Arabidopsis thaliana: one gene and its partners. The protein of the gene in region 2 interacts with the protein of the main gene of each other region in a pairwise test. Each region holds a gene or a part of one and is shown on either strand. Other genes may lie near its edges.

Region 1 (3,896 bases), on a different chromosome or scaffold from region 2:
AGATGAAAGTGATTTTCACATTAAGCTGTGGATTATGTTTACAACGAAATACATATAAATATTATATTTATTAGGCTAGCAAAACCTTAACTAAACCCAAACATGATGCAATTGATAATTTGTCTTTCTGACCCAATAAACTGGGTACATAAATTTTATATGTCAGTATGCTTCATGTTACAGTACTTTAATTATTTAACACTAGTAACGCAAAAAAGATTTTTTAATAAATGATCATTTAATCATTATCATTCTTCATTAAACATTATTTATTGTTTTCTAATAAAATATAATGATGGTTTAATTGTTAGTGTAAATTTATATGGTAAAACTAAAACCTGTAGGTAAGCCTCTTTTCAGTCTTTTGTTGACCAGAAACTTTGAACAATAGAGTTCTATTTTAACAAATACTAACAAAATACAGAAGAAGGGTAAAGTTTTAGGTTGAAACTTAAAAGGGTGCGATACGTGTGAACGCGTTGGTCAACAAATACTATCACGAGCTGTTCTCTTTCCCGCGGACAGATATTGATTTTTTCGTGTTCTATTTTTGGATTTTGTGGCTGGTGTAATAATAATATTAAAGCATATATACTAGTATAAAACTGGTAATTTTTCGTAGAGGATTGTTTTCTCAAAGCCCAAACAGTAGTTGCAAATTTGTAATAACCAGATTTTGAAGTAAAATAAAATGGTGAGGAAATTTTAGAATAATTTATTTATCAAAAAAAAACTTTAGAATATGTTACATATTTGGTAGTTATAGTATTGTATCAAATACACATATTAATCGAATTGTTTGATAAAATGGAAGTAAATTATTTTTGACTGAACTATGTAGCACATATTTATTTTATATGAATCTCAAAATCATTTATATAATTTATGAAAAAGTTAGTTTTTTTTCTATTCGATACGTTAACAATTAATTATGACCAATAAATTGTTTTAAGGCATTCAGCAGTCTAAAAATAAAGACTGAAAATGGCGTCATAATAAACGTAAATGCAGTAAATATTATTCCCTCTATTTTTGAATATTTGTAGTTTAAAATTTTTGCACACAAATTAAGAAAACATACAAATCTCATTTAATTTATCTCTTTCTTATAAAAATATTATTAATTACAATTAATCCAACCAATAAAAAAATATGATATAAAATATAATTGGTTAAAAACTATTAAACACATTTAATTTTGCATAGAAAAGTGAAAACAACACTTATAGTAAAAAAAATAAAAAATCTTTAAATTACACTTAATTAGAAATAGAAAGAATACAAAACGTACGGATGTTGTTAACCTAAACACGATTACTACCGAGACTAAAGATGTCTAAGTTTAATACTAAGAAAAGTAAAACAATTTTTCGAGCAGATATATGAATAGTGATTTTTTGGGTCAACACATAATCCACCCAACGTTGATTTTTGTTTGTCGTTTACAATCTCTAAAACGTTTATTTTCTAAGAAATATACGTGTGGGCTCATTTTAATGCCCTTCGTGCGTCTACCCGACGACTTTGTTTACTCGAAACTATATCACACACTACACCACATATTTCAACATCACACTGTATACACACATTTATATATACATGCAGACCGATTATTATAATAATATTTTCTCCGGTCCCTAAAACATATATATCATTCATTCCCACATGAGATATAATATTATGTAAAACATACTTTTGACTATGTTGCCAATAATCAAAAAGACATCTCTCTCTCTCTCTCTCACATCCTATTTTCCAAGAAGCTCACCAATGCTTTTGAATTCTCCCACATGTCTTTTGACAATTTTAGTATAAATACTCAAACCCCTTAGTCAGTCATTCTCATGTTCATCAACAGCATTTGATCTCAAGCTCATAGGAATTTGATCTCCACATTATATCTTGATCATCACCACAAGAAAAACATTTCAACTTCTTTTATCAGCAATCACAAATCAAAGAGATGGGAAGAGCTCCATGCTGTGAGAAGATGGGGTTGAAGAGAGGACCATGGACACCTGAAGAAGATCAAATCTTGGTCTCTTTTATCCTCAACCATGGACATAGTAACTGGCGAGCCCTCCCTAAGCAAGCTGGTATGTAAAAATTATAATATCAAATTTCTTAATTTTGATCAAATTTCTTACATTAATTATTGGTAATTATTATTTACAGGTCTTTTGAGATGTGGAAAAAGCTGTAGACTTAGGTGGATGAACTATTTAAAGCCTGATATTAAACGTGGCAATTTCACCAAAGAAGAGGAAGATGCTATCATCAGCTTACACCAAATACTTGGCAATAGGTATTTTACTTCACATATAAGTATATAACCGACACACAAGTTTTATTTTGTTTTCTTACTATATATAAATCACCAAAAGAAAGTAACTTTATACACACGTCTAGGTCGCACTACTATTCTTTTAACTACACAATGATCGGCTCTTTAATTACTTTTGTATTGATGTTCTTCGTTTTCCTTTTGGTATCATCTTTAGATGGTCAGCGATTGCAGCAAAACTGCCTGGAAGAACCGATAACGAGATCAAGAACGTATGGCACACTCACTTGAAGAAGAGACTCGAAGATTATCAACCAGCTAAACCTAAGACCAGCAACAAAAAGAAGGGTACTAAACCAAAATCTGAATCCGTAATAACGAGCTCGAACAGTACTAGAAGCGAATCGGAGCTAGCAGATTCATCAAACCCTTCTGGAGAAAGCTTATTTTCGACATCGCCTTCGACAAGTGAGGTTTCTTCGATGACACTCATAAGCCACGACGGCTATAGCAACGAGATTAATATGGATAACAAACCGGGAGATATCAGTACTATCGATCAAGAATGTGTTTCTTTCGAAACTTTTGGTGCGGATATCGATGAAAGCTTCTGGAAAGAGACACTGTATAGCCAAGATGAACACAACTACGTATCGAATGACCTAGAAGTGGCTGGTTTAGTTGAGATACAACAAGAGTTTCAAAACTTGGGCTCCGCTAATAATGAGATGATTTTTGACAGTGAGATGGACTTCTGGTTCGATGTATTGGCTAGAACCGGCGGGGAACAAGATCTCTTAGCCGGGCTCTAGTTAACATGTTTGAGGAGTAAAGTGAAATGGTGCAAATTAGTTAAGGCTAAGAAATTCAAAAGCTTTTGTTTACCGAGAAAAAAACACACTCTAACTCTTGATGTGATGTAGTTAGTGTATTAATTAGAGGCTGCGTTTTCAAAAAATTGAATTCATTTGTTTCTCCAAAATTGAGTAGTTTAGCTTGTACGAGTAATTAATAATCAATGACAAGTAATCAAAGAGTCTACGTATATTAATATTGCCTTGTTGATGAAATAATTATCCAACAAACATTGGATGCCACTATAACAACAACAGCAATTAAAATAATATAAGTACTAGATTAATTCACTGTTATAATCATTTTCTAATGAGGTTTTGAAAGTTCAACTATGGCGGAAAAGGTAAAGTTACGTAGTTTTATAATAAATAACTTGAGAAAAAGGAGCTTAATGATCATAAACATTTTTAATTAAAATCTCAAATCTCTAAACATTTGTAGTTTATGTGTTAACGACGTCTATGCGTCATCATCCAAATTTAAGCCCCATATTGATGACAAAAAATATTTAAATTATAATTATACAAAACATATAAAACTATTGATTACGTTTTTTTTGGTAAGGAAAACTATTGATTACTCTTAAACTAGATGTTGTCCTTTAAGATAATAGCCCACCAAAAACAAAATCGAGATAATAATAATCTAATTATTTTTAAAAATTTAGACACTGCTTTGTATTGTAATTTTTGAATATCTAATTCATAACATAATTAAGGTAGCTTAAAAGAAAAGAAAAGAAAAAATTGTGCCCTTT
Region 2 (3,581 bases):
TTTATTATCTGTATACGTTTTTGGTCAAACCTTTCCTATTGCCTATTGGATGCTGAGATGGACTTCTCTGGATATTCCAAATTATTCCTTCTTTTGATTTGGTTATGTTAAACAAAAAAACGTTTTCTTAGTAATAAATGGATATGGATCAGATTAGGTTCTTAGGAGGATTAGATATGAATGGATGACTCATTGACTTGTAACAATATTAAGCATGCAGAGCATATACTGTATATGTCTTTATTTTATACTATATAAATGCATGTCTTTCTGTATTTGGAGGGTGTTGAATTAATTATGGAAATCACGTCATCCTAATCAGCCACCGGTTCAGTCACTCTTACGTGTAAAAGATAACGTCGTAGACTTTCAACAACTCCGTATGAATGAAAATGTAAGAAAAAAGATCGAGGTTGTCGCCGGAGTTGAGCTCTCTTGTCTTCACAAGGCCTTCGATATCCTACTCATTTTTCGTTTATGCGGATTATGAATTGAAAAGTATGAAAGATAAAATGGCAAATTCACCATCGTAATTACACCACTATATCTTAAAACTGGATGGTTCACAATATCTTCGTATCATGGTAAGACGAGAATCCAGACGTAACATATCGGAGCTCTAGTGATCAGGATTTCACCGAAAAAAGTAGTTCGTGGTTCTTTCTTTATTTCGAATATAATCGTATTCAAAGTTACATTTACCTTTTCTCTTTTGTTTCATTTCCGATTCAAGGCTGACTTGGAAATTATAACAAAGAGTGAAGAAAGAGAGAAGCTAATATTAAAAGGGAAGTACAGCATCGTTTCTTCTTGTGATTCTCAGCCGCTCCACGCTTTCTATGAACTCACTGTCATTTACAAATCACAACACATGTAAACGCTTTATTTCAGTAATCTACAAAGAAAGTATCAAGAGCTTACTTCCATGGAACATCCCCAGCATTTCTCCACAGACCTTCTTCGTCTCTGTAGACCAAACAGAACTCAGACTCCATCTGGAACAACCTCAATCCCGACACACTCTGCATCCCTACAGATTGTAATGAACATCCGGTATAAGCCTACTAGGAACATTACTACTTATAGTACTTACTCATCTTTGAATCCCAAGCTTCCCATGAAAAACTTACCAAACATGTCCTCGAGTTGATGAGCAAGAGTTGAATAGCTTCCATGATCAAGAACACAGACCTTGCGACCTACCACCAAACCATCCATGGTGACCTTTACATAACCCCACTTCCGTCTGTATCCTTCATTACTACAATATCCTTTGCCACATGTCATAACTCATAAGTAAACACCGTCTCAGAGTTGAAAAAATTTACCAAGAAATTAAAGGTAATGGAAATACTAATGGAAACGGCAAAGAAACTCACTTTGGCCAGATGAGTGGTAAATCTCATGTTGTATGGTTCTCAGGCTGAGACCTAAATCGATTACGCCACCAAACTCCGTGGTCTGCGAGTAATATGGATGATACTTGGGAGAATTTGGGAAAACACCGAGTGGGTCTGAGTCCATTGTTGGTTTCTATAACAAATACATATTCAGCACATAACAGATACATAGAAAGGTGAGAATGATGTTGATTTATATCAAGCAGCTAAGGCTAAGAGTGTCAGGAGAGTTAAGAGACATCATTGCAGACAGGGAACAAACAAAAGACAAGAACACATTACCTTCCAGGAAAGGATCAGTTTGTGGTCTTTTTGTTGTTTGTCTGATGCCACTAAGTGCAAGGGATGGGGAGGATCGCTGCAATACATCTGGTCAGCCAACACAAAAACCTGAAATTATCGTGAAGTCAGAATTGTACTATACTAATCACAGCAAGCACATCTCTATCTAGTGAAGTGTCTCAATGTTATCAGAGAGTGTTGACAACTCATTGTCTCAAGTCAAAACCTGTAATCACTCAACATCAAACACGTTACAAAAGAAATAGGTAAGTCGTGCTAGAGAATTCTGTACCATAGAGAATCCAACGAATTAATTTATGGACAAAGAAAGAGAAGAACTAGGTATGGTCTTACATGATGGTGGAGAGACAATATCTTTCATGAAAGAGAGCTCTGTTGTTTAATACTAGACAATTCAGATCTATCATTACATCATGTATCCCACACATTATCTGAGAAGTAGGGCTGTGTCATTAATGGATCTAAGACAGAAAATGTACACATAAATCCATGTCTATACAATTGCTCTCATGGATAACTCAAGTCCTCCAAAAGAAGCAAAGCAGTACAAGAGAACACACCAGTTCTTCTAAAGATAAATGTTCAAATAAAAAGCTCGTTGCCATAACAAAACAAGGGAAATCATCACAGTAGACAAGAGCTTCCAGCATCTCATTCGATGCTTTTCCTAATTTACAGGTGTATGACTTGAAAAAACTGCATCCTAAGCTCATGTACAGTTTGCCCAGATACTAAATGTACGTGTCTTAAACGGAAATGGCATCCTTTTTAACAGGCGCTTCTGAAACACACTTCTTCGACACCACCTTAGTGCGACGTCTACAATCTACATGTGCTATAGCATGCAAGGAACAGAAACTCCCGAAATGTTTCACTTATGCGGAATCATGGTGGCTAAGAAATTCAGTTATGCAAGGATAGACTTGCTCCACTGCCTGCAGTAAGTTGTCAGAGAAACGATTAACAAACGAAACAAGCATGCACATGATACAGCATTGAACAAAGTTCCAACATAGGAGGAGACCTAGAAATGACTGGGGAACAAACATACCAGTCGTCCTCCAACCAAATCATAGTGTGCATAATGTGGTCCATCTGGTTCTCCAAGTAACTTATAAGTGACCAAGTTCTCCGGAAACAGCTTAACAGTGTCTGCCATATTCACAAGCATTTGTAATTAGTCATAATGGTGAAAATGCATGTGTGAGTAGCTTAAAAATTTATTTGGTGTGTGTGGAAAGTATCACAAAAGTTAATCCATCTACGCCTTATACAGCCTCTCATAACTCGAAAGAATTCAGTAACAGCAATGTAGAATTTAAAATGAAATGCATATCTGGGTAAATGAATGGTTTCATGTATATGCTAGAGTCATCTATGCAGAATTTCATAATAAACATTATGTTAGTATACCTTCCACAGCCGCAGGGGGGCAGATCAAGTCCCGATCACCTGCAAGAGCTAAGACAGGGACACTGGTTCTGGGAAGATGATCCTTATAGTAAAATTTACCACTACGATCACGTAAGCCTCCCTCTCGAAAGGCCGTTGTCAGCTGAATAAGTAGTTTTGCAGGTATGGTACCTAGATGTAAGAAAACAAAGAAACTCTTGAAAATCACCATAAAGGGAGCAATTACGGATTGCAAAAAAAGTCATGGTACATTCAAGCATCTAATAGTAACTGTTCCAGCATTTTCTTTTTCTTAATGAAGATACGTTTCTTTTCCACTTAAAATACATTAAGAACTCACATACTTAAATGGGATCAACTGTTTTTACTTACAGAAGTTATTCAAGACAAGCTTTTCTAACATTTCAGGGTGCATCATATCTGTTGATGATATCAAATCATTAAGCCAAGATAATACATATGGAG
Region 3 (4,342 bases), on a different chromosome or scaffold from region 2:
CCAGACTGGATTTTGTTTTACTCTTGGTGCTTGAAGTGTTTTTAGAGAAGCTTTCAGATCCTAAGCTCCTCTGAGAATTCTCTGTCATATCAGACAAAAAACCATGTAGCAATATATAAACAGGATGAAAAGTAACAGAACTAAAAAGGATATGAGATGAATAGTTTTTATTTGCTAACTGAAGTGAACATACTTAATTGAGTAGGTTGACTGTTTTTCGCTTTGATTGGACTTTGAGTAGTCCTTTTCATGTTGTTTCCAACTGTAACTGGGTCAGATTTGGTAGTAGGAACTTTAGATATGCTCAGCTCCCTGCAACGTGATGTTGTTGTATGCACATTTGCAGGTCTTTTCAGGGTGCAAGATGGTTAAGGTAAACAAGCAAAAAGAACACAAACAAGACCTGCAAAGGATATCAAGATTGCCTATACACTCAGTACTCAAAGTAAGAAAAGGATATGAAGATGAAGGAGGAGGCCGGGGACAGCCACTGCGCTTGGAACCACTCCTTAAATCCTGAGCTGAGATAACTTTTTTCTGGGCCTATAATGCAGATATTCGACATTTAGATAGACTGCGCCTCAAAATATATATATTTACGCAAGGAAAGAAACGACTTATGACCCTCATTAGCTCCACAATATTTAGGTCCAGTAAACTCACCGAGGAAGATTGGGATTTAGATGGTGATCCGTACTTGGGCATTATGCCACTGACAAGCTTCTTCTCTCTGTTTTTACTATTCACAGGCAAGTCGTTAAATAAGTTTTCTTCAAGTGCTTGTAGTCCTGGTGAAACATTACATTTGGAAGCTGACATTGACTCTCTGTACTCTTCCTGAATGGCAGCTAACCGATCTCCACCAAGATGGCAAGCAGTTCCAGTTATTTTAGATAACTCAGATGAATCCAAAACACCTGGTTCATGACCATATCACACATCTTAAGATTCTTAGTAACATAGACCAAATCTTTGACCTTTACTACTAACAGGAAATTGGTAAAAAAAAGTCACCTTCTTCCGTTGAAAAAGCTCTATCCCATGCTAAACTCTTGCGCAAATTAAACCCTGCATTCTTTTTCTTCTTCTTCATCTGTTGTCGCTCCACACTCAATTTGGGCAATTCAACTTTAGCATTCTCCTTTCCTACACTATCTGTATCAACTGAAGCGCATGGCTGCTCCCTGTTGTTGCTGGTGCCTGTTACTCTTCCTGCAAAAAGTATTAACCTTCATATATCCGCAGAATACACAACATTTATACTAATTTGCTATTTTATCAAATTAAGATTTAAACAATGCTAATTCAGATGCTTAAACACTCTAACAAAGGGAGAGAGAAATTATCAGAACGAAGCTCGGATCGAGAACGAGAAATTGAAGCGCTTACCAATTGGGGAAAAAGGAGGCCGAGTAGGAACGATACGACTAGATCTAGGGATTTGGAGAGGTGAGCATTTCAAATAACTCTTTCCTCGGCTCGAATTAGTTTTCTTCGGCGTATTCTTCAGAAGCCAATTATCTTCGTCGTCTTCTCCAGAGATATCTAAGAGATCCTTATCCATTTCTAGCTTCTCTTTCGAGCCCAAGATCTGACGATTAGGAAATCCGGAATCCTATAGCTAGGTTTTTTCAAACTTACACTGAGAAAATCTCTTCGGAAGTTGTAGGCGAAAATCCTAGTCGGTAAATCGGAAATTGTTCGGCCGATGGAAGAGACGACTGTTGATAGAATATCCCGGCCTCGTAAGCGGGAAGAGGTTGAAAAACTTGAAATTGAAAGAAGATCGGACCAACGTTCTCTATAATCTCAGGTTATTATTGTCATTTAAAGCAAATCGATTGGGCCGGACTTTAAAGCCCATTTATTTGAATTTTAAATTCTCGTTCACCCTTTATTGGTTTGGTTTGGTTAGGATAATATTTTTTCGGTTTGATTAAAATCATATCGGTTCGGTTCATGGAGCATTGAAGTAAAAGTAGTTAGCACATGTTTTATTTTTCCATTTGTAGCAATAAGCCTAGAAGACAATACAGTCTCTGTGTTATGCTACAAAAGGCAAAATCTCTAAAGCAAACCAAAAGATCGGAGATCTATTAACAAAGCTCTTTTACTTTTCTATTTTCAAGAACCATTTTCACCTTCACTTTCACTAAAAGAGTTAGGGTTTCAAAGAGGTGAAGATGATGAACAGAGGTTTCTTCTTTAGACTCTTGTTTTTATGTTAAGATCTTTATGCTATTGTTTGTTCTTGATTCTCCAATCACATAACCTATCCTATGTTCTGATTTTTTTCTTGCTTTGGAACAGGAATTTCTGTGGATGATTGTCTTCCAAAGTTCTTCAAAGTGTACTTACCTGATGATTCCGGAGATGATTTGGTAAAAATACACTTCTCTCTCTGTTTTTGGTTATATGTAGATTTTTAGTTTATTGAAACTTTTAGATCCTTCCTCTTCAGGAATTACCCATCTCTTTCAACAGCTTTTTACCAAAGTCGTTGCCTAAAAATGTAATTGTTAGAAGCATTTATGGAAACATCTGGAAAGTGGCGTTTAGGAAGTTTTGTGGTGATAGTGAGAGATTTGTTATGGTTAATGGGTGGAAGAAGATAGTCAAGGACGAAGATTTGAAAGGTGGAGAGTTCTTAGAATTTGAGTTTGATGGCTCTTGGTGTTTCAATTTCTGTATCTATGGTCGTGCAACGTGTAAAAGGCTTAGAAGTTCAGTGCAAATCACGGTTCTTGATGACAATGATGATGGTTTTAATGATGATCAAGATTATGGGGAAGAAGTTAAATCTAGTGAAAATTTCATAGTTCTTGATGATGATGATATTAGTGATGTTCAAGATTATAATGAGGAAGATACATCTAGTGAAGATATTACAGCTCTTGATGATGCTGATAATGATGATATTAATGATGTTCAAGATTATGTTGAGGAAGATACATCTAGTGAAGATATCATAGTTATTGATGATGATGATGATGATGATGATCAAGATTATGGTGACGATGATCATGCTGATGTTGAGAAAGAAAGATGGAGAGGAGTCAAAACAGAGAAAAAAAAGAAAGGTATAATAGAAACTTTTGTCTTGTGAAGTTAACTGAGACTGAGAGCATCACTGTCTTTTTATTTTCTTGCGTATAAATTTTGATAGGTTCTTCTGGAGAGCATGACAGACAATATCTGGATAATCACATGAACCCTTTCTTTACAGTGAACCAGCATCGGCAAATAAAATATAATATGGTAAGAAATGTGAAGAAAGTCTCATGTCTTTTTGCATTTTCATTAAAATAATGTACCACTTCTGTTTTATGATGTTATCTTTGTAATGCAGCTGCGCATACCAACTAAGGTCATAACGAAGTATGGCTTACACTTCCCTGAGTTCATCAATTTGATTGATCCACTCGAGAAAAACTTTGGTAAATTGAAGAGGAAAGTTAAGGGTCAAACAATCAAGGGATTCCGTAGTATAATCAGAAGGAATAATGTGAAGTTGAATGACAAGGTGATTTGTGAGTTAGAAAAGGAGATGGATGGTCTTGTTCGAGAAATCAAGGTCCATGTTATAAGAGGATGATCTCTTGATAAGGCTTTATGCGTTAACTCCAAGACATTATCTATTTTTACTTGAGAGTTTTTATATGAGTAGAGTACTTGGTTTTATGAATCTTATTGGTTTTCTCGGAACATAATCGATGTTGATGCTTTCTATACACTTCTTGATTTTGTTTGTTTGTCTGAAACATGAAGTGCAAAAGACGATCAACACAGTCTTACAATAATAATGTATACTAGAGCTATAGATTTTGGGAGAAATCATTATGAATGGTTCACACATCAGGGCTGTTTAAAACCTGCGAGTTCATGTAAAAAGAATGTTATTACTCTCTATGTGATCATAAGAAAAGCATTGGCATAGGAGGAGAATAATACTAAGATACTTGGAACTCTGCCACTTAACACTATCTCATTCTTCTTTCAAGTTTCAAGTTTCTTGTTCAAGAATTGAGATGTCACAAGTCCTTCTTTCTCTAATATACCCTTCTCGACTCTTTACTGTGGTTCTTTTGTTTAAGGACGATAATGTCATTTACACGATATAGATTGAACCAAACTTAAGGCCCATTTCTTGTTTTTTGTTTGGGCCTTAGCGATACCTTGGTCCGCTTAACGAATTATTTTTGAATAAGAAGAGTACTATTAATGGTTTGTTTTCCATTTGAAGGAAAAAGCATCGAAACAGAGAGAACCCTCTGTTTTTGCAAGTTTTTGCTACAAAAGGCCAACACCTTTAGATCAAATCACATCTGGAAAAACTTGGATC

The links. Proteins that work in one complex are often made in the same cells at the same time.
Region 1: the proteins of IAA34 (region 2) and MYB15 interact in binary tests that used the Arabidopsis thaliana proteins (3 or more experiments, as listed by UniProt).
Region 3: the proteins of IAA34 (region 2) and AT5G60142 interact in binary tests that used the Arabidopsis thaliana proteins (3 or more experiments, as listed by UniProt).

Annotation. Positions count from the first base shown.
Region 1 is NC_003074.8:8,307,529-8,311,424, forward strand, and holds MYB15 (myb domain protein 15), read left to right. Parts: upstream 1-1,680; 5' UTR 1,681-1,963; coding exon 1,964-2,096; exon of another isoform or gene 2,097-2,175; coding exon 2,176-2,305; intron 2,306-2,501; coding exon 2,502-3,096; 3' UTR 3,097-3,382; downstream 3,383-3,896. UniProt on the Arabidopsis thaliana protein: Transcription factor involved in cold-regulation of CBF genes and in the development of freezing tolerance. May be part of a complex network of transcription factors controlling the expression of CBF genes and other genes in response to cold stress.
Region 2 is NC_003070.9:5,181,475-5,185,055, forward strand, and holds IAA34 (indole-3-acetic acid inducible 34), read right to left. Parts: upstream 1,940-3,581; 5' UTR 1,770-1,939; coding exon 1,683-1,769; intron 1,556-1,682; exon of another isoform or gene 1,534-1,555; coding exon 1,380-1,533; intron 1,272-1,379; coding exon 1,131-1,271; intron 1,031-1,130; coding exon 922-1,030; intron 849-921; coding exon 782-848; 3' UTR 517-781; downstream 1-516. Other genes in the region: AT1G15060 (alpha/beta hydrolase family protein), read right to left, coding at 2,579-2,638, 2,755-2,855, 3,117-3,287, 3,489-3,581. UniProt on the Arabidopsis thaliana protein: Aux/IAA proteins are short-lived transcriptional factors that function as repressors of early auxin response genes at low auxin concentrations.
Region 3 is NC_003076.8:24,215,433-24,219,774, reverse strand, and holds AT5G60142 (AP2/B3-like transcriptional factor family protein), read left to right. Parts: upstream 1-2,025; 5' UTR 2,026-2,183; coding exon 2,184-2,196; intron 2,197-2,310; coding exon 2,311-2,381; intron 2,382-2,422; exon of another isoform or gene 2,423-2,461; coding exon 2,462-3,080; coding exon of another isoform or gene 3,081-3,106; exon of another isoform or gene 3,107-3,166; coding exon 3,167-3,258; intron 3,259-3,349; coding exon 3,350-3,595; 3' UTR 3,596-3,828; downstream 3,829-4,342. Other genes in the region: AT5G60150 (uncharacterized protein), read right to left, coding at 1-81, 194-357, 461-543, 664-917, 1,015-1,212, 1,390-1,564.